3 linked regions of the Drosophila melanogaster genome follow. The protein of the gene in region 1 interacts with the protein of each later gene in a pairwise test. Each region holds a gene or a part of one and is shown in the gene's direction. Other genes may lie near its edges.

Evidence for each region. The genes of interacting proteins can lie anywhere in the genome.
Region 2: the proteins of Mondo (region 1) and Pdp1 interact in a two-hybrid assay, tested with the Drosophila melanogaster proteins (one large-scale study listed by BioGRID).
Region 3: the proteins of Mondo (region 1) and CG14829 interact in a two-hybrid assay, tested with the Drosophila melanogaster proteins (one large-scale study listed by BioGRID).

The regions. Positions count from the first base shown.
Region 1 is NT_033779.5:21,305,460-21,313,502, reverse strand, and holds the start of Mondo (mondo), read left to right. Parts: upstream 1-3,452; 5' UTR 3,453-3,564; exon of another isoform or gene 3,565-4,564; 5' UTR 4,565-4,715; coding exon 4,716-5,215; intron 5,216-8,043. Other genes in the region: crc (cryptocephal), read right to left, coding at 1,295-1,405, 1,460-1,628.
Region 2 is NT_037436.4:7,828,106-7,835,983, reverse strand, and holds the start of Pdp1 (PAR-domain protein 1), read left to right. Parts: upstream 1-2,910; 5' UTR 2,911-3,430; intron 3,431-4,156; 5' UTR 4,157-4,405; coding exon 4,406-5,597; intron 5,598-7,878.
Region 3 is NT_037436.4:7,234,332-7,241,106, reverse strand, and holds CG14829 (uncharacterized protein), read left to right. Parts: upstream 1-2,984; 5' UTR 2,985-3,007; coding exon 3,008-3,525; intron 3,526-3,591; coding exon 3,592-3,733; 3' UTR 3,734-4,307; downstream 4,308-6,775. Other genes in the region: RpL18 (ribosomal protein L18), read left to right, coding at 166-252, 330-806; BHD (Birt-Hogg-Dube), read right to left, coding at 943-1,063, 1,122-1,224, 1,314-2,472; CG14826 (uncharacterized protein), read right to left, coding at 5,535-5,676, 5,806-6,323.

The DNA.
Region 1 (8,043 bases):
AATGGTTCATTGATCGCAGATACTTAATATATTTCACTAACAAAACATACACTATAAGATTAAGCTTTCAAAAGGGGCAGAGTCATAACCACCAGAGAATGGATCGAGTTCCTACCTTTAAAATCATACAACCCAGCTGTTATCTATTGAATTCTTAATGTATTACCCGAACGTCAGCAATGAGTCGAGAGAGATTGCTACAGAGAGAAGAGAGAGTCCAGCCGATCACTCGCTTAACGCGTGATCAAGTACGCAAAAAACCGATCAAAAACTGATTTCATTGCTCTCGCTTGATCTGAGTCTTTGTTGTGGCCTGGAAATTGGCCATTACAGCGCTTGCTTGGCGCTCCGTTGATAAACAATAATAAAATGCACGGTGAAAACCATAATACAAAAACACGCTCATGCTCAAGCTAAAGAGGGCCAAAATACCAGAAACATACGCTAACGAAAACAAAGCAAACTTGAAACCGGTTCCTCAACTTTACCTGTCGGAATTTTAGGTTCAAATGCGATGTGCGAGACCCTAATGACTCAGACAATGAAATCCACTTGATCTACACTAATTATTAAGAAAGAGCTCTATACAACAAAAGTTGAGTTTTAATATTTATATAAAGATCTTTTTTGCGGGAATTTTGCAGACGTTCAAAGCTCCTGCAAATATCTAAATATTTCATTTTTACTGATTTGCCATAGGTGTATTTATTTAAGATATTTGTATCTAATTGAAAACTCAATTTATTAAAAACTTCTAATATAAAGATCCGGACAATTTAAGGTTCTCAAATATTTTTGGAATATCAATAGAAATGTAATCCCTTTTTCAAATAATTGGTCGTGAGTATGCTTGCTTAATATCAACTTTCTAGCTCTTGTTGTTCCTGAGATTTTGATTATCACTCGGACATGGCCAAATCGACTCGGCTAGTAATTGAATAGAGTCGGAAAAGCTTACTTTTATTTATTAGATTTCAATGAGCCTAGTTTCCCATTGATCTACGAGTATCAGGCATAACTACCAATTATCTTATCATAGTAATCATAGTAACGGTCTTTGCTTTAATATTATGAGCTTCAAGTTATAAATAAAGTTATTTTGGACTTTGAAAAATGTAAGACTAGCAAACATTTGGGTGCTTTAATAAGAACTCTAAGAGGTCGTTCTTATGGGTTTAAGACCTCCTCGCAAATGGGTTTATCTACATTTTGCGCTCAGCTACAGTTACAAGAACATTTATTATTTTACATTATTATTATGTACAAAAAAGTAAGCACACTAAAATATACCTACCTTCATCTTTCAGGTCAAAGATCTCCACAACCATCTCCTCATCACTAAGCAACTGGAGAGAAGCTACCTCTTCCAGGGTCAAGGCTTCATCATCGCCAATAAGAGTAATGCCTTAAATTAAAATCCTTAAAAATCCTTTCAAAAAAACTTTTAGGCACCACAAACCATTTGCAAAGTTATCGTCATACAGCCACTCCGTATCGTTTGAGTCAGTGAGCGGAAACAGATCGGAGCCCAAAACCGATGTTGGGGATTGTGGCTCCATCTTGAGGTCCCAGTACAGCTCCTTGGGCAACTGCAAGCTCTCCATGGTTTGGTGAAATGTCGCGTCCATATCCAGAGTTCAAATCAGGGGTCAAAGATATGTTTTGTTTTGAGAGTATGAAATCCGGTCCGAAGAATGAGAATGGTTGTTTTCGCGGTGTGTTTTGTTGTTGTGAAAATGCCATGATGGCGCTGAGAATTAAAGAAACGAATTAATTATGATTAATTGGTTCGCTGTTCAGCCCACAGCTGTTTAATGACTTATCACGAGTCATAGTGATAATGAATAGTCGCTACCCTTTTAAAAACACTTTTAATCATTTTACTGTACCTCTTATATTCAAATTAATCTAAGGGTAGACTACATTCATTGAAAACTATGAAAGATAAATGTATTTTTAACATTTTATTACCAAGAGTCAATATTGCCGTGTCCACCACCAAAAAAGTTGAGATTAAGCACGCAAATTTTGATTTTAATTTTCTTTTTGAAAACTTCTTTCTCCCCTCTAGCTTAGTAATATAGTAATTATGTTTTAACATTTTAGGTAAATATAGAATGCAAGGGTAGAGCTGCAATCGCGCAGCCGGTTTAAACAGCTCTGTCCTGGGCTGTGTCCGCTTGGGGTAGTCCTTACTGTGGTGAGTCATCTCATTTTCGCACGTGCAGGCGACTTGCAACGCACATTACTCAACTCCAGTCGGCGATTGCGTCAGCCAATTTCTTTACCTTTACCAGGTGGCATGCCCCACTGAGTTTTGATTTGCCACGTTCGCCCGGTCAATTGAAAATCCATACAAGGCAATGCCACCAACACACGTGCAGCAACAATGAATGAGTAGAACGCCAAGTGCGGCAGTGTGCGTGATAAATTGCGAAATTAGCGAGAATTTAGCTTGGTGTATACTCACTTTTGATTTTTATACGTTTCCATTTTGTTGTGTTTGGGCACCTAGGTGCTGCTTGTTTTTGCTTGCGCGCAAACTATAGAGCCATCTTTAGGTTAATATAAATGCCGAAATCGTGAGAGAAAATAACAATTGAACCTTTTTGCGTTTCATTTGGAACGGTAATGAGTGTTGGAATCAGTGTTACCAGATCGGGAAATGCCTTGCTACTTTCTACTAAATAATCCCACCCCTTTTTCTCACAAATCTAAAGCGCACAAAATCATTCGTAAAGTATTATTAAATGACTATATAAAAATTTTGAACTGAACAGCAATTTCATTAAGAACCTTCTAACAGTACAAATGAAAAAATTCTCTGAAAGTATAATGTCTAATATAAGCCCGAGAAAGGTATTTAAGCAAAAGAACATGGGAGTGCGAAATCCTCTAGTCTGCTGATAAAGAATTAGGCAGTTACACTACTTTGTAACAAGGTGTGCAGTTTGAATACTTATTATTAAATTTTAACCGGAACTAATTCAATGTTTATCGATAGTTTTTTGATGTGTGATCACTAATTTTATTCTGGGTATTCTATTCTCTAACTTAAACAATATAGTGAACATAAAGGGAAAATATCCATTTTACATAATTTTTCCTAATTACTTAAGCACAACAATGTTTAAAAAACACATTACATTTGAGTATAATATATGTATATATTCTAGTTTTTCCTATTAGTCTCAACGCATTAACTTTTTATTGATGCGGTTTCAAGGTGCTGTCGGAAAAAGATATAATAGCAATTCCATAAAACTGGAAACTAATTACGGGAAATAGCCGTCCTAAATTCATTGTATTGCAATTTCGGAGCAGGAAACATATGACCTCGTATGCTGCCCTTCCCAATCTTTACGTTTGGGGTGATTATGCTCATTCTTGCGTTTTTCGGCTCGCAGCTTTCAGCCATTTTTAGGAAGAGGGTGCTGTTTATCAGAGCCACCAAATGCTTGACAACCCTGATGGGATGGTGAGGGCTCGCTACCCGCAATAGGTTAATGTGTGCTATATTGTGATTAAACTACGTAGAAGCTTTGTGTTGCGCGTGTGTGCGTGGTATTGGTAGTCCGTCGTGCCTGCTAACTGCCCGTGTTTCTGCTATAGGGGGCAGTTGCAGTTGTACCGAAATTGTGGTGCGCGTGCATGCGCGTGTATATGAGTGGGAACGGAAAAAGGCAAAATGCAAAGGCAGCGCTGAGCCAGAGGTCAAAAGTGCAAACACAGAACTGCTTGTGGAGTGCATACTCTGGATGGCAAGGCCGAATGCCAGGAGTCAAATCGACTGAGCTCCATATAGTAATAGTGGAGAGGGGGACAACATTGCTGCCTGACATCTGCGCATATAGAAGAACACGTACATACATACATATACATATGTATGTACGTTTTCCTAGCTGATAAGCAACGCTAGCGAGGTAGGGAGAGAGAGAGATTTCGCGTCAGCTGTTCATTGTTGTGTTGTGTGCGGCGCACAGGTTATGTGCGTTTCGCAGCTTCGTTCTCCGATCAGTTCTGTTTGTGGAATGAAACCGATCGTTCTGCGCTGGTTCTGCCCGCCTTGTTGGCCTTCCATCAGATCCGCGTGTGTTTACGAGTAGTTGGGGCTTCACTATCTGTTCAAGGAGCTACAAGCGGCCACTGACGTCTCGTTCTGACGTCCGTATCCCCAGCCAACCCCGCCGCGATTGTGTGTGTGTGTGTGTGTGCGAAAATTGTTGTTATTGTGCTGTGTGACGCATATAACGGCAAAAGCGGGGCGTGTTTGCCATTAGAGAAGCTTCGCTCCGGAAAAAGCAACAATTGGACAGGTGTCGATGACGAAAAGCTGAAGGTGTCGGGCATTGTAAACAAATCAAAATCTTAAAACCGTGCTATGTCTCTATCAAATAATCGCTTATTTTAGTAATTTAGTTAATAGAATGACAAGGACAAACACTAGATGAGAGAATTAATAAATGTGTTAACCACGAGGCAAGACAAAACATATTTTTTTTTATAGTCTGCGAACGTTTACATATTTTGAAATGATGGAAAAACCCCATCCAAATTAAAAAAGGGTCAGCACCAGCTTTTAAAAGCCTTTACTACGCGAGAGACATTAAAAAACCATTAAATGTGCCCTCGCCATATCGACATAATCTGCAACCGCCAAAATTTTGGCTCAACAGTAAACTATTTGCATAGGCATCCCCTGGCACCTGTTGAAAATGATGCTGAATAAACACGAGGGATACCAACGCACAAGCCAAATGTTTCCCCACCAGCAGCACCAGCTGCCTCAGCTGCACCAGCAGCCTTATCTGCAACAGTCTCTGTGCCAAAACTTCCAGCAATTGCAGTACGAAACGGGAGTAGGTGCTTCGGCGTCAGGGTCCGCCGAGGCTACGGCAGACCTGCTCAAGGCGGAGCGGGAGTCTATCCACTCCGGCCAGTTTATGGTCTCGCACTTCGAGGCAGAGGAGGCGCAGGACGACCTAGAGGATGACGGCGAGGTGAAGATGCTAGACCCTGAGGACCCCGGTCTGGGCAAGCCGGGCGAGCCAACCAACACATGTCGTGACGTGCAGCTTTACGTACCCCAAACAGTGGCCCACTTCAGCGCCATGGACCAGGAGGGCGACGAGAGCAGCATGAGCATGGTGACCTCCCACCTGGAGATAGAGACCTCGCTCACCAAACTCTTCAAGTGCATGAATCTGGCCTACAGGTGAGTTGAAGACTCGTACTCGAGACCACAACCGAACACCGGGGCCCTGAAGATTTATGAAATGTTGTTTCCCGCTTGTTCACGCGTTTCGAGCGTGATAACGCTCAACTGGCCAACGAAAATCCAGCAAACGAAAAAGCTTGGACCGCTTCGGTCCCATAATCGCGGCACATGTTGAGACGTGACGTCGCTGCTCAGGTTACTTTGGCCCCACATTGCCTCAATCGCTCCTCTGCCACCCTTTATACCCCTCTTTCTGTTACTTCTCCCATTTCTGCAAACGACAGCGCAATCATAGAGAAAATATTAAAGTATTGCCAAAGCAATATCAGAATGAATTAATTTTGCAAAATGAAATGCAATTTGCTTACAACATATTATTATCTGAGACCTTATCAACTAAAAATCTGAATTGTGAAGCTATTGTTTTTTGTTTTTTTTTAAAGAACGAAAAGGATTTGTTTAAAAAAAGTGTTATACAGTTTTAAATTTTAAATTTGTTTGTTATAATGATGGTTTTTAGTCACTATAAAACAGCTACGGTAGTTGTTTGTATGATCCATATATATACGCGTATTGTTAATAACTACGAATTCGGATTTCCTTACATTTTTCACGACCATGTGATTTCATTGTTGTTTTTCACTAAGTGACTAAGTGCTCTAGGAGAGTGTGCGTTCTCCTGGATGCGCTTTAGCGACTACAATATACACGAGGAAAAATATAAATTTAAATTTATAACATGCTTCATTTTGCACGCCCGCCGGTTGTTTTGATGGTGTTAAGTTTCGATGGAAAGACATTTCCAAACGCTTTTTTTGTCTAAATAACATATTAAAAGAGAGAACAACGTAATTGTTATACGCTTCTACTCTACGATTCTAGATACTAGATTAGTTGAAAAGTATGCAACGGGCGTTTCCGACTTGATCAGGATCTATAGCTGGGTCAATCTAGCCATGTCCGCCTGAACGTCGAGATCTCAGGAACCCTATAAAATCTAGAAGTTTAGCCAAGTTAAAACCGCAACTTTGTTTAGCCATGTTGCCACGCCCACTCTAACACTAGCTGAAAACTGTCACGCCCACACTTTTGAAAAACGTGATCATATTTTTTCACATTTTTATTAGTCTTGTAAATTTCTAACGATTTGGAAAAAAATTGTTTTCCACGCCCACTCTAACGCCCTAAACCGCCCAAAACTGCCACGCCCACATTTTTGAATAATTTTTTCATTTTTTAATTAGTCTTGTACATTTCTATCCATTTACAACAAAACTTTTTACCACGCCTATTCTAACGCCCTAAAACCGCACAAAACTGGCACGCACACATTTTTGAAAAATTGTTGGATATTATTTCATAATTTTAAATTTCTATCGATTTTCCAAAAAAACTTTTTGCCACCACCACTCAACGCCATAAAGCTGCCAGTCTTTAGAACAATTTTTAAATGTATTCTCATTTTATTCCCCAATATCTATCGATATCCCAGAAAAATTTTGAAATTTGGCGTTCGAATCACTACCTGAGTAACGGGTATCTGATATTTGGGGAACTAGACTATAGCATTCTCTCTTGTTTATTTTACTTTTTGCTGTTTTTTTTTTTTTTTTTTGAAGCGGCTACCCATTTTAATAAAATTTAAAGTTTTGTTTCTCTTCTAATTCCATGATTTTTAATACACAACATTCATATTTACATATACATATTTAAGTCCAATTCGGGACAAGTGCCAGTGGGAATGCGAAATCAAAATTGCATCATTTTTCTACGATATCGATAGATATTGGGGAATAAACTAAGGAACAAATTTCAAAATTGCTTAAATGTTTCGCATGATCGTTTTGTAGATCTGAGAAGGGGTTTTTGATATACCATAATACTGGCAAGACAAACCATAAAACGAAGAAAAATCTAAACATTCTTCAAAAGTGTGGGCGTGTCAATTTGGGGTGGTTTTTTGACTAATAAACTTATGAAAAATATCCAAAAATTTTTAAAAATGTAGTCGCGGCACTTATGGGCGGCTTTAGGGCGTTAGATTGGGCGTTGCAAAAAGTGGTTTGGCAAATCGATAGAAATTTACCAGATTAATAAAATTATGAAAACAATATCCAACAATTTTTCAAAAATGTGGTCGTGGAAATTTAGGGCGTGTGTTGCATTATGAATCTCGACGTTCATACGGACGGACAGACGCACAGGACCAGATCGATTCGGCTATTGGTCCTAATAACGGGTATATATATAATGTTGGTGTCCTTTCAGAACGGTACACCTATCAATAGGTAGAACATATGTTTCATAAGATGATGCTGAGAAAGTGGGAAAGTAACAATTTAGACAATTTTAATCTAGTGGAAATTAATTACCCACAGAAAAACGTGTTCTTAAAAATACGCATTGTATGATTTTTCTTTTGTTTCATCGCATTTGCTAGTTTTTTATCTCGTCAAACCTTTGATCAGATAGTCGAAAAAAAACTTATTATTGCCGACACAGCACAGTCCTCTAGTTTCAATAGCTTGGTCGGGCAAAAATTTAAATATTAAAAGGTTTTTAAATTTTTTTTGTTTAATAATATCACATTAGCTGGTACTTTCAACTGTTAAATCTTCACAAATTTTTTTCCGTTGAACCATTTAATTTTTTAAAAGTCCTATTAGTTTTTGCGATACCTTTCGATACGTTTAAGATTTCTTTTAGTATAGGACTTTCATTACTACAGGACCGTTGTCCACAATAGTAGACGCCCCTATGTGAACTGCCGTCCACAGTTATATGCTTTATATATATTACTTTATGAGGACAAAAACATTTTTAAA
Region 2 (7,878 bases), on another chromosome or scaffold:
CACGTGTATAATGACTCCAACGTCGCCATGCCAGACTCGTAAACCCCGCTCTCCAACGGATCCATTATAATAATACCTCTATATGGAACCAGAACCCAGACGGTTTCCATGCAAACACGCCAAATCACAGTGTGTTTAATGAAGGTTTGATTTGCTGCCTGTGTGTGTTAGTGCCTCAATTTGCAACGACATATGCTCAAAAAAATTCAAAAAAAATTTAGGTATTTTCAAGTACCAAGAATGAATTATATATATCTATAAAAAAAATATTTTTTTTTCCTGAAAAAAGAGCAACAATTATTTTGTTTACTTTCCGATTGCTGCTCCGCTTCCGATATTTATTCTGCACAATTTGCTTTATTTGCACATCTATGCAGTCTGTGTTTTGCTTCTCCTACTTGTATTTTTTGTTCTTCGGATGCAAAATAAAGCCATGCTAGTGTGTGTGTGACTCATTGATTCGATGTGTGAATGTGTGTGCGATGCTTTAAATTGCTATTTATAAACCAGCAAGAGCTGTGTCTTCGACTCAGTTGGGTTTTGCTTAGCAATTTCTGGCGCTCTCTGAGGGCTCATTCATCCATCGTAGCGCCACGGCGTATCTATGTGAGTGCGCTGCACTGGTGTGTGTCGGTGTGTGTTTTTGATTGTACCAAGTGTGTGTGAGGCAGTAGCCCAATCACACAGATACACACACTGGCAAGGGGAGACCGCCGGTGCACGTGGTAGCGAAACGTGATAATACGAAATACAACAACTGACAACAAAACAAACAGAAAACCTGACAACGCCGCTGTCGCTGCCTCTGCTGTCGTCGCGGTCGACGTCGTTCTCTGTCCATGTCGACGTTGGCAGATTTTCCCGGATTGGTTCCCTATTCTCGGCTTCACTGGCATATAAGCCTGGCCAATAGCAAAGCTCTGCCGCACATCCTTCTGTTATTGGATCCCGAAGCAAACTTCGTTTTTTCCTTCGCTTCGGAGCTTCGGATGACTTGTTGCTTTCCAAAAATAGTCACTGGCTGCACGGGGCGTATACTCGATATTCCCAGAATTGACCCGCCTGGGTAAAACAGGTGACTGAAGTTCGCTCTACCACATGGTCCATGGTTATGCCAATTGATGGGTTTTCAGGGCTGACTGGGTTTCTCAAATGCAAAAAAAAAAGAGTTTTGTTTAACCGAAGAATAGCACAAGGCTGAAAAAAGGTGGGCGACTTAACAAGTTTAACAAGTAGAAAAATGGCGAGGATATTCTTGGAATTCTTTTGAATTGGTTTAACGAAAGATGGAACCTTACAAATTGAATAAGTCTTATATATTTTATTTATTTTATATATTTCTTTATTTATATATTTCTTAAATAATCCATGTAATTGTAATTCAGTTTATTTGCATTTTTATCAGAAATGTGTTTTTATATTTTATCTCAAATTGCTTACTGCTCTGATTCATAGTTATAAAATCTTCGATGATCATTGGGTAAGTATTGAGTGTATTATACAAAACTTCTAAGAAAATTTACCGGACCTATGCCAACAGAGAGCAATTATTATAATTATTTAAACTTGATTAAGCCCTCGAATAGTTTGAATACTTTTTGAAATTTCCAAGAAAAACGGCGACCTACGGCAATAGTTTAGCGCCTTCGATAGAATGCAGATTAAGTATACGCTCCGTTGCAGCTACTACGTCGTTTCATTGGGTTTTCGCCCAGAGTGTTAAGCACTCAGCTTCAGACCCCCCCCCCCCACCACTCTGCCCCATCGGATCTACTTACTGGGAATGACGCAGCGGTAATTAGTTGGTGGCACAGAGGCAATCCTTTGGAGCACATTACGCATACGTCACGTGTTGCAGACGCACCAGTGCCGAATTAACCGAATATTGGCACGGCAATTGGCCAATCGGCCACGCACTCCAGCTGATGTGTAAAGTCTAGTGGCCATAGGTACACCCGTTACAGGGGGACAGACATAGCGCTCTATTGCGAATCGACTGGAAACTTTTGAGTTGCATTCGTATCTCTATTTGTCACCCTATCGGTACGTGTATCTTTGAGTGCGCTTGTCGTTCAACGTGCACTCTCATTCTCTCTGTCGCTCTCTCTCAATTAATTTGCGTATGTGTGTGTGCCCGGTGTGTCCGCAACACGTGCTTAGAACTGTGCTAGACAGTGGGCTTTGGGTCATATTGAAATCCGCGTGACTTGGCCGCAGCAGCGCTCAGCGCCTCAGCGGGCGTCGCAGTTCCAGTCCCCCAAGTATATACAAATAACTACAGCTATGTCCAAGATAATAGCAATCATTTAAGAGCAAGAAAAAAATGTTTTAAAATAATAAATTTTGTTACTAGAATATTATAAGTAATGTTGAAATAACTGAGATAAAACAAAGTTGCTTTAAAAAAAAATATTATTAAGTTCTTGATAGATAATTAGATATAAGAAGATAACATAGGTTTAGTCCTAAGTGAATTATAATTTATAATAGATTTGATACTAAATCTGAGTCGAAGTACTCGTATATGAACACTGTTTAATATATACCAAGAACTGTACTAAAAATACCTATGGCACTTGAATTGATTAATATAGTAGTAATGCTAATCATTTTCCCAGTGCTGTATGTAAAAATATTTGTTGTACATGTACAAATATTTTGCGCTACCAACATTTGATAAAAAAAAGCCAGTTAAACAATTATCAAAGTAGGAGAGGGGTTACTGTTTTCGGACCTCCGCCCTTTACGTAAGCCGACTTACTTGCAGAAAATTGCAATTTTTAGCTGGCTGAGAGAGCGGTAGCGGCGACTGCGACGTCGACTGCAGCGACGACTGCAGCGGCGGCAGAGGAAAAGCAGAGACGGACATTGAGACCGAGAAAATTACTCGGCCGGCATTCTGTCGCATCGCGTTCTCATGTGAAAATCGTCGCAGCTCGTTCCGTGTTTTCGCCACTCGAGCGGGAAAATCAAAAAATATTTCTACGCTCAACAAAATAAATTAATTGAAATTGATTTTTCAAGCAACAGAAATAGTTCTAGAAGAACTATAAATCGAGGAAGTCATTTTTGTTTTATCAAATTTCAAGTGCAATGGGTTCATTGTGAAATCAATCTAAAGTGTGTGTGTGTGTGTCATTCGAATAATTACTATTATTAAAAAAGAAATAAATACGCAGAAAGAGAGAGAGAGATCGAACGAGGCAGAGTGAAAGAGAGAGATAGAGAAAAAAGCGAGAGATCCGGAGATCTCTCGAGAATCTTTAAACAACAGCGCTAAAGTTACGGATCTAATTTCAAACAGTTTAATTTACTTTTAATTTTTCTACAAAACAACAAACTTCAAAAAGAAAAATACGAACCAGCAAAACTCAAAGCAAAAAACGATCTCATATCCAAGCGCAGCAACAAATTCTGAGAATAAGAAAAGGTATTCAACAAAAGGCTGAAAGGAAGAAGAGTTATTCATCAATGAAAAGGATAATTCAATTGATTTGGAAAATAATAATTTATTTGTTTTGATTTATATATAGAAAATATTCCAAATTTACGTTGAAATAATGTTAAAAAAAAAAAAACATTGGAAGCCTTTGACTCGGTTGATTTGATATACAGTTTAATTGGCAAATAATTATTAGTTTGTCTCGTTTTAAAAGTGAAGCAAAAACAATAAATGACCGTGAATGTTTTGATTGCAAAAATTCCATAAAGAACACGGAAAGCCTTTGTACCTATTGATTCCACTTTAAGATTTCTATAGCGTCACAAAAATCTTATTATACAAAATTGATTGAACTAAAAGAAAGCGCAAACTATACAACTATACAATGCCTTTTCTTATTCCTTATCATCATGATCATCAATAAAAACTAATGGAAAACTAAATAAAAATCATACAAAAATAGACGAAAACAAAGTGCATTCCCTGACCACACGAAAACAAGCGCATTCATTATCAGTTGCTATCAAAATCGCTTCCCCATCATACTCAATACTCACTAATAAAACTGAAAAACTGAATCATTCCCAACATTTTTCACCCACCTATCACCTGTTCATTAGCAACAACGAATTGGCTATCAATTGACTGGCAAATAAAAAACCAGCAACATACCAAAGTGCTCAAACACTAATCTGGGTTTTTCAAAAACAAAAGCACAATATTTTTTTCAGATAACACAGACAAGCGTTTATGTTAAAAACAAAAAAACTAAAGTGAACCCAAGTGTAAAGACAATGCGCACAACTTTTGGCCGTGGCCCAAAGTTTATACTGCTGACCAGCAAATTTAATCACGTTCAGCACAAGGAGGTGATCACCTAGGATCATCAGAAAACAGTGATTAACCGTAACCAGTGAAGGATAACCCAGTGAATAACGTACCCAGTTGTTGAAACCAGTGATCATGTCGTCGGATACGAATTCGTGTACTAGTTTCTTTGCCCAGGAGCACGCGAATGCCACATTGTCGCAGTATTTCCAGCAGCTTAACTCGCACGTTGCTGCTGCAGCGGCGGGCAATAGCGGTGGCAACAGCAGCAGCAGCAACAACAACAACAGCAGCGGCAACAACAGCAGCAGCGGCAACAGCGACAGCGGAAATGATGGCAGCATGACAGGATCATCGGGAACCATGGACAACCATCGCAGCAGTGTTAGCAGCAATGATTCGGGCAAGAGTAGCGCCACAGGAGGCGGCGGGGCAGGTGCCACCAGCAACAATGGCGTGAATGCCTGGGCCTTGCAGCAGCAGCAACAAACCGCCGCCCTGCACCATCAGCAACAGCAGCAGCATCAACAGCAGCAGCAACACCAACAGCACCTACAGCAACACCATCAAGCGCACCATCAGCATGTCCTGCAGCAGCAGCAGCAGCAGCAACAGCAGCACTCCCAGCATCAGCATCAGCAGCAACATCACGGCCACCCGTTGCATCCGCATCATACACACCAGCAGCAACAACAACAACAACAGCAGCAGCAGCCGCCGCCGCAACACCACCAGCAGCAGCAACAGCAGCACGCACAGCAGCAGCAGCAGCAGCATCATGCCGCCCAGCTGGCACATACACTGTCATCGGCCGCCGTTGCTGCTGCAGCCGGGAATACCGGTGGCAACACCAACCCCCACTCCATTTTCGGCACCGGCAACTTCCACTACAAGACGAACAACTCGTGGACGCTGCCCACGCTAACGTACCAGAGGATTTACCAGGAGAATCCCCATTACCAGCGCAACTCCTTCATGGATCCGCAGAGTAATGCCGCTGCAGCTGCAGCAGCTGCTGCTGCCAGTTGCAATGCTGCCGCTGTTGCGGCAGCCGCTGCAGTTGCAAGTGGCAACCAGGGATCGAATGGGAATGCCAGTGGCAATGGTAATGCTGTTGTGGCGGCAACTGGTAATGGAAATGGTGGAAATCCCGGCCAGAATAACAACAACAATAACGGCAACAATAGTGGCAATAGCAACAATAACAGCAACAACAATGTGTCCTCCGTGCAACATGTGGCAAATGCCGTCGCAGCGGCAGTGATCGCCAATGAGCATCACAACCATTTGAACAGCTTGAAAGCGCGATTTCAGCCAGCCAGCTCAGGTGAGGTGAAAAACTTGAGGAAAAAAGGGGGGGAAATTGTTGGAAAATATATATTGGATATATAGTAATGACCTTAAATGGTTTGTTAACTATAGAAAAATGGAAAAGTGCTACTTAACAGCTGTACTGTGCATTCGTATATATATATAAACTTATGTATATATCTTTCTACCGCTTAGATACTTCAACTTTTCTTGGTTGTCTTAAACATTAGTTGTATACAGTACTCTGAATAACTAAATTGTTTTGAGAACACAAAAAGCACACTTAAAGGGAGAAAAACCAAAAACAACTGATAAAGTGTATGACTAGTTCTGAGGATTTCCATTCTATATTCGCCCAGGCTGCATTAGAAAATGAGTGTTCGTTCCGTTGGGAAGTCTGGATATATATACTCTTACATACATATGTATGTATGTGCATGGTAACCCAGTGCGATATGTCTGTAGAACCTCTATCTGCATCCCGGCCACTGGGACTGATATCATCCGACGTCAGCGGCCGAGAACTTTGCGCATTGCGAGCTTGTAAAGCGCAAAAGTCAAGAAAGCTTGCCGCGCACACGTGAGCTCAGCTGAACTATATAGTATAGTTTATATGCATATAGTAATGTAGCCCGTATATACAATACTCACTGACGTCGCCGACGGTTCGAATTGAATAGGAAATGGAATTCAAAATGTAGATACATTTGCAAATGTATCTTTGCAACGAGGAATCGCCAAGTATATTGGCTCGCTGCCTACCACAAGGGTTATTTCATTATTTTCACCAATTTTCTTCGTGTTATAGATAAACAATTATATTACTTATTTTTCGACCTACGCCAAATTGCGTTGCCAGTGAATTAACTAAATTTAGTTGGTATATAGCAGAGTATTGTTTACAAAAACACCTATATCTTATCAGTTGATGACTCTCTTAGTAGCTGGCCCATAGGAATTCTCATTATGCATGGCAATTAGAACTGGAAAATTACTTTATATGCCGTTAAATTTTCCATTTAATAATCATGAAAACGATCCACATGGCTGGCATTTAGTTGGCTGGCCTAAAAGGGTTTCAATTCAACCAGTTTTGTGTGTGTGTTTTTTTTGGCACATCCTTTCACCTTTTTTGATCTACTTTGTCAATGCATTTGGCACAAATCCTTTCAAAAATCGCGGCTTAGCTGCCACCAATTTTCATGGGTTTTTCCGTTTTCCTTTTTTTTTTAACTGACCTCAGTTGGTCAACGTTGGGGAAATACATTTGGTTTGATTAGATTTCGGAATTAGGCTGATGAGATTTTTATGGCTGACGATATGGAAATGCATATGGCAAATGAGATGTGGGTGTTCTATCATCTCTCCCTCTAGATTGTTTGTTGTATTTCGCTGGGGTTGGTGCAAATTTCGCTATTGAATATACCGAAAATTACCTTTTAAGGCAGCATGTATAATAATTTGTATGAATTTCGTTTTAATGTGTGGGAAGAGTGGGGAAAGCTAAAATGGATAAATGTCAGTTGGCTCTGTGGGTGGTCACCCCTTTACCCCATGCATGGGAAATTTCCGACACCCTTGACAATACCAAATATCTACGTACTATTATAAAAATGCAATTTTGCTTTTTTTTTCCTTATTGTTGAAAAAACATTGTTCTAATTCAATTTTCACTCTCTTTTATTTACAGGTAAGCATCGAAACTCAATATTATCGACTTTTTTGTGAGTACAAGTAATTTTGTGGTTTGCTAAAACTGTTAATGGTAAGCTTTTGTCTTGTTTCATTTACTAACAATCATTATCTAAAGGGGATATTAGAATGAAGAAAAAAAAACCTTAAAACTCAAAAGTTATTTTGATCTTCTTTTCAAAAATATCCAACTCGAGCTTAGAAAATATCACTCAATTAGAAGAGCGCAAAGCTTTTTTGTGACTGACTCAAAACAAAGCTGCTGCTTTCGTGGGCAGCGGAAAATCTGCTTCCGCATGACGTCGGCATCGGCAGCGCAGCTCCCGCCAAGCGTGGCGGCAGCGACGTCGACGTCGGCGAACTTTGCCAGGCGGCACGAAAGAAAGTAAACAGGCGGAATGCGCAAAAAAATCAAGCGAATGCGGAGAAAGAGAGTGAGAGAGAGTGGGGAAGAGCAAGACGGGACGAGTGAGCTTTCAGGCTTTCGGTTTCAAGTTTGGCTTTTATTTTGTTTTTTTTTTGTTTTTTGTATTTCGCTGCTGCTTCCCTAGCTTTTCACTCTGTTTCTCTGGCTTTTTTCCCACTTCGCCGCTTCTCAGCATTTC
Region 3 (6,775 bases), on another chromosome or scaffold:
AAACAAATTTGTGTGGGCGGCATCTAGTTTGTGAAGCTAAAATACCATGAAATAAGCAGTTTAACTGATCGGTTCCATGGATATGTAGTAAACATACGCTCGAATGCCGACCAATTGTTTTTCCGATCATAAACACCAGTTCTAATACGTGTGTTTCGTTTGCAGGGTATTGATATCAACCACAAGTACGATCGCAAGGTTCGCAGAACCGAGCCCAAATCCCAGGATGTGTACCTGCGCCTGCTGGTCAAGGTGAGGCTTTCGATGGCGTTGACTACCAGCTGAATGTGGAGATTAATCTGTTTTTTTTTCTTTGTTTGCCCCCGCAGCTGTACCGCTTCCTTCAGCGCCGCACCAACAAGAAGTTCAACCGCATCATCCTGAAGCGTTTGTTCATGAGCAAGATCAACAGGCCGCCGCTATCGCTTCAGCGCATCGCTCGCTTCTTCAAGGCCGCCAACCAGCCGGAGTCTACCATCGTGGTCGTCGGCACCGTCACCGACGATGCCCGCCTCCTGGTGGTGCCCAAGCTCACCGTGTGCGCCCTGCACGTCACGCAGACCGCCAGGGAGCGCATCCTGAAGGCCGGCGGTGAGGTCCTGACCTTCGATCAACTGGCTCTCCGATCGCCCACCGGCAAGAACACGCTGCTGCTGCAGGGCAGGCGTACCGCCCGCACCGCCTGCAAGCACTTCGGCAAGGCTCCCGGTGTGCCCCACTCGCACACCCGCCCCTATGTCCGCTCTAAGGGACGCAAGTTCGAGCGTGCTCGTGGTCGTCGCTCCAGCTGCGGCTACAAGAAGTAAGCGACTGGCTGACTGGACTGGATTCGGCATCCTTTTGGTTAAGATAATGATTTTTCTCGCCATCGCACGGCAATAAAAGAGTTTTATTCCAAAAGGTGAAAAAGAAAGTCCTTAATCTGTGCGGTAATCGGTTGTACTAGTGAAGGTGTGTGCTCCAGTAGTTAATAATCGGCTGATCGTGCGGCTGCACGCCAAGCACCTTCTTAAGTTTGCCCTGCACGCTGGTGGATTTGGCATGGTTGAGGCAGGTCACTTTGCTGTAGATGGAATTCAATTGAGTTCGGATCTGTGCAGCAAAATAGGACGGCTACTCACTTTTTCCACTCTTCGATGAGCACCTTGGTCTGCTTGTTCAGCACGAGTTCTGTGAAGTTTTTCTCCTCCACCGCCTTTAAAAGTTTCACCATAAGATCTGGCACTAAAGTGGGAGAATCAATAGAATCAATATCAATATCCCCGACTCGTTTTTATCAGTGAAAGCGGGAACGGATTGGATGTGAAGCTTACATTTTCGTGGCAGCTCTCCTGGCCATTTGACCGACACCTCGTGTCCGTTGACGTGTTTGTCCAGAAAATCGATCCGATAAACGGAGCTACTGGCCATTGGCACGGCTATGTCATTGGACACGGATATGATTTTGTACTCGGAGCTGATGGAGTGTTGATGTTGGGCATCGATTCGCATTAGATTGTGCATGGGCTCGGGCAGGAGTTTCTTCAGGCAGACCATGAAACGGAAGGTCTTTCTGGGATCACCTCTGACCACAATCTTCACCCCAGTCAAGGCACAATAGCAGACCGTGGCAAACTCCTCCTTGCGGACGACACTCTTGAGATGGCGCAACGAGAAGAACTCCTCCAGATCGGGATCGTCGATGCTCTCTATCATTGGCAGTGTGGAACTGTTGTAGGTGAGTCGCTGTGCGGGAGGACGGCCACTACTTTGTGGCGGTAGCCACGGTAGGTTGCCGAAGGTCACGTGCTCGGTGAGGAAGCGGGATCCGGCTAGCAGGAGCCACGAGAAGTGTGAGTGCAACTGGGCGAAGATGTGCTCCTCGCCTGTTAGCTCCAGCAAGGCACGGGAAGTGGGCATCAGGAACTGAGCGCCGGACAGACGCCTCTGTCGCTCTGAGTACGTCTGCTCCTCCGTCTCCTTGGTCTTTTTGGCAGCTGCCTGCAGCTCCGACGACACCTTCTTCAGGTGCTCCGCCAGAAAGGGCTTGATGTTAAGCAGGAAATACTTGTCCTTCATCAGCACAATGATGGAGAACAGCTGCGAGTAGCCGCGGGCCTGCAGGTCGCTCACTCGGAAGGTGTGACTCAGGATGTGACCCCTGGACGAATCGCCAAAGAACACGAACTCGCCATCCTTGCTGGCATCCGTACCATTGCTCAGACTGAGCACCGCCGCCTGCTTGACCAGACTGGCCACCTCCGGCAGCACCGCCACCTTGGTGCTGACGAATGTGGCCCCGCTTTCCGTGTCCCTGCTGTAGATCGCATTGTTATTCTTGCCCATGGAGTAATTGCAGGCGGAGCAGGTCTTTTGCGTCTGCTGTTCCAGTGACAGGTCCTCCAGCTTGGTGTCCCTCAGTGTCTGGGTGCAGAAGATGGCGCAGGGACCGTGCGCCTCGCAAAAGTGGCACAGCGCTATCACGGCGTTCATCGCTGCTCTACAGTTTCCTTTATATCCTTGGTTATGTTATTGTTTATTTTGTTAGTTAATAATACTAGAGTGACCAGTTGCGTACATTCACTGAAATACCAGAAATGGCGGTAAGAACATAGAAAACATTGCAGGGATTTCTTAAGCGATATTTTAAATTTTGCGGGAATATACATTTTATTCTTGTTTTGTATATGTAAAATATAAATACTAAACTATAAATCAATGTGCTATGACGACATAATATTAAATAAATACACATGACAATAAATTCCTTATGTTAATAGAAGTTCAAATTAAGAAAGAATTTTTGAATTGTGTTTTTAAGATATGTAGAAATGTATCTGTAATTATTTACCCAATTAATTATGCAGAACGAAAATGTAAAGCAGATCTGGATGTCTTTATAACCCAATTTGGATGCTAATTGCTTGAGTCCATAATGCTTTAATTTTCAGCATCACAAATGGGTATCGATTCCAGTGAGTTTCATTCTCGAAAGTTATTGTGCCACCTACAGACGTTTTTCCACACAATGCAACTGGTTTCTTGGATATATTTATTGGCCTGTTCATTACCTGTGGTTAGGAGTGCGTATATGTTAGTAGCTGCTCCAGTTGGCCAAAATATTACGGAGTATATGCATGCGCGCCAGAAGAGGCATCAGTTGATCTACCGGAATGGAGGAACCATCCGTTTGGTAGTGGGTCCCGTGCTGTCCACTCAGCTCGAGGATCCCGTGGTCTGGCGCAGTTTGGTCTACTACTATGTGCTGCATTTCGGGGCATTTACCCTGCCATCGGCACCACTATATCCCTGGGACAAATGGGAGACGATATATGCGCGTTCGTTGCAGGAGAAGATCAGGAGCTTGGATGAGACGCACGAGGACGACACTCGCCTGTTCGTATATGCCGCCTTGGAGAACTATATGGACCAAGTGAGTGGATCTCCTGGTCGAGGTCGTCACTGTTTGCTGCGAGGGATCTGTGAAAATGCGCAGGTGCATCACCATGTGGGCATCATGGCGGAGCTACTAGTCGTTCTACTCACGTAAGTTGCAGTTTTAGAATGCTATTACTTGAATGGAAGAATTATAAATCTATATAAACTTAATAGACCTGGTAAAACGCGCTTGGATGTGGCCTACAAGGAGGCTTTAGCAGCTGGCCAGGCTGGAATCGATTGCCTAGCTCGCTATTCGGATTGTCCAAGGGGTGAAAGTGTGCTGGATGCATATGCTCTGGATGTGGAGTATTGAAAAGGGTTTTTTTTTAAACTGATGTTACGACTTGAATAAATCAAGTTAATTCAATGATTACCACTGATAGTGCTTTTCAGTAAGATCAACTGGAATCACTGTCAACTTTCGAGTATATCTGCTCACATGAACAATCTAGTTACTCCGTTGAATTTTTAACACTAATTGCAAGTGATTTGCGCCCTTGTCGTCGCCACGCCCCCTTTAACTCCACCGACTGGAGGATGTCGCCTTTGGTAAACCAGAAACACGAGTGCATCCATGCCAACATCCTACCCCAGAATCTAGGCGAAAAATGCGTTAACATTAATGGCTTGTGGCTGGTGCAAGTTGGGCTTGGAAAGCGGTGCAGCGAAAGCCAACACACGACCGCCATTTTGTCAACAATGGCGTCAATTAAATGGAAAATGCGGCACCACCAACAGCCGCCGCGCGGCAAGAACGCCGGCAGCAGCAACGAAAGACAATAAATGCGTCTTAAGTGGCACATTAGGCTCGCAGACGGTGCCAAGCGGATGGAATGGGCTTTCCAACAGGGTGCAGCAGATACTATTTTAGTCAGAGATTTCCCTAGAATAACTAACTAATTTTGAATCGTTGAATTCAAAGAAATAAATAAAAGTATATTAAGTTATATTTTTACTTTGTCTACTTCGATAGTATGTTAAATATTACTTTTTTATTCCTATCACATAAAAATATAATTTCCATTCTAGTATAAATATATATAAAAATATAAATTTAGCTTCAAATATATTTTAATGAATGTTCTCTATTGTGACGAATGAAATGATATAAATATTTGTATATATAGGTGGAATAAAGTAAATCTGTGAATCGTATTTGTACATTATAAATTCATATCTTCGTTTATTTTATTTGTCTTATCAATTATTAATTTTACTATTATTCATTTATGCACCCTGTTCAGAATCCTCAGCTGCGCCTCGTGTGCACAGCTAATTCAAATGCGATTATGACAACGCGAACAACGAAGGAGCTAAGCGGCGTAGAAGGCGAGGGGAGTGCGGTGAAAGCGGAGAAAGTGGGGCGAAGGAACCTGCCAGAGTGCAGTTGGCGCAGCAAAGAAGTGGGGGGGGAGGAAGGTAGGGGAAGGGGGCGGTGGCTTGGGGGGAATGCCTGCACAACTTTGCGGTGTTTGAACTTGTGATGGTGCAGTGGAATAGGTAACTAATGTCTGCGGCTGTCATGTTTATGCGGCAGCCATATCGTAAATTCAAAAATATCAACTAAATATTAAGAAAACAAAGCGGGAAAATAATTTAAAGTAAGCTTAAATAACTACAAAATGATCGAGTTAGTTACATAGCTTTCGAGAAATGTTCTTACGGTGCGTATGATTAATATTATTATATATTTCTATTATTTGTTATTTTTTTTATAGGTGAAATTATTCAGTTATATAATTTTAGTTTTCCATTTTCGTGTTAGCAATAATATTATCTTTTATTTATATTTAATTCCAACACTTTAAATGGCCCACAATGCGTTGTTTTTAGAGCAAGACACCCGCATAAACGCTTCAGCATGGTGGGTTGCCTGCATCGATGTGCACACATGCTCATCCTGGAGCCGAGTCAACACAGTTTCCTGCCCCCTCAGACATGCTTCCGTGCATTTCCGCCCCAAATTATGCAGCAAGAACAAGCGGAATCCGACATCAGGACAAGAACCATTAGACATGCACTTTGATTTGGTTGAAAACTTTATTGCGGATCCCCATTCTCTTCCGTACTCGACAGCAATCCGCAGCAGTAGCTGTAGCAGGAGCAGCAGTAAATCAATCATCTTCCACAATCAAAAGCCCGTCGAGGAAGTTGTGTCCCCGAGGACAGGCACTGTACAGGCCCAAGCAATTGGCTCCAGCTCTTCCCGCGGCGTAGGCATCATGGTAGTCATTGTCCAGATCCGCTTTGCCGGGACTAAAATGATTGGCAGATTAAAGTAGCATTTATGGGGATTCGTGTAAGTGTTTGAAAATGAATGAGAAATGATGAGGGAGCACTTAATATTTATCGTATTCCTTAAACTTGAAGACTCTTTTCTTTTACCTGAGTACAATATCCATAATTTCCGAGAACACACCGATATGATGATGGATCTGAGCATTCTCGCATATGGAGCGCAGCAGACATTGTCTGCCCATGGAGCGGTCATTGTTCCTCCTGCCCATATACTCCTCCAGTGCAGTGTAGACCAAGAGCCTGGCATCGTCCGCATATCGCACTCCGCCATTGGCCACATGGCGCTCAATATTCCTTCGCATTTGCATCAAGGAACGAGCGAAGGTGCCTTCCCACTTATCCCACGGCCAGATGGGTGATGTGGGCAGGGAATAGGAACCACCTTGGAGCGTGTAGGAGAGCACACAGGAACGGAAGGTCACCTTGTCCCCCAAGGGTATGGGCATCGAGGGACCAATACTAAACTTCAAAGACCCACTATTCTGGTAGATCAGCCAGCGCTTCTGTCGATGTCCCATGAATTCCGTGAGATTTCGGGATGAATCTCCCCGAGATGGCAGGCTGAGCATGGCCACCGCCAAGAGCAGACCCGTTGTCCACTTCATGCTCCCAACGACTACTAACTAGCTGCAGGTGTAGGCGTCACGGACTTAACTCGTTCTGAAGTGAGCCATCAACGCAAGATGACAAGTGGAAATTTCGGAGGCACAAACATTTGGCCAGGCAATTAGCATTATGAATTTGTCAAGAACTGGATTACACTGACCCAAAAAGGTGCATGTATGCATAAATATTCAAAGTATACTAACAAGTATATGATTTACAAATTATTTTTTTGATTTAAAAGTAAAAACATATTTAATAAATTGAATAGAATGTCAATATATAAAACAAATATCTATCACTAGGCCAAGTTGATTTTAGGCATGCAGAACACATTATTTTTCAATGTGTTCCCAATCCGTTTTGGTTTTCTATTTGCACACGTGAGTGGAAAACTGAGTGGACAACAGCCACCTAATTGGATTCGGCCCAACTAGAGTGACCCAAAACGTGG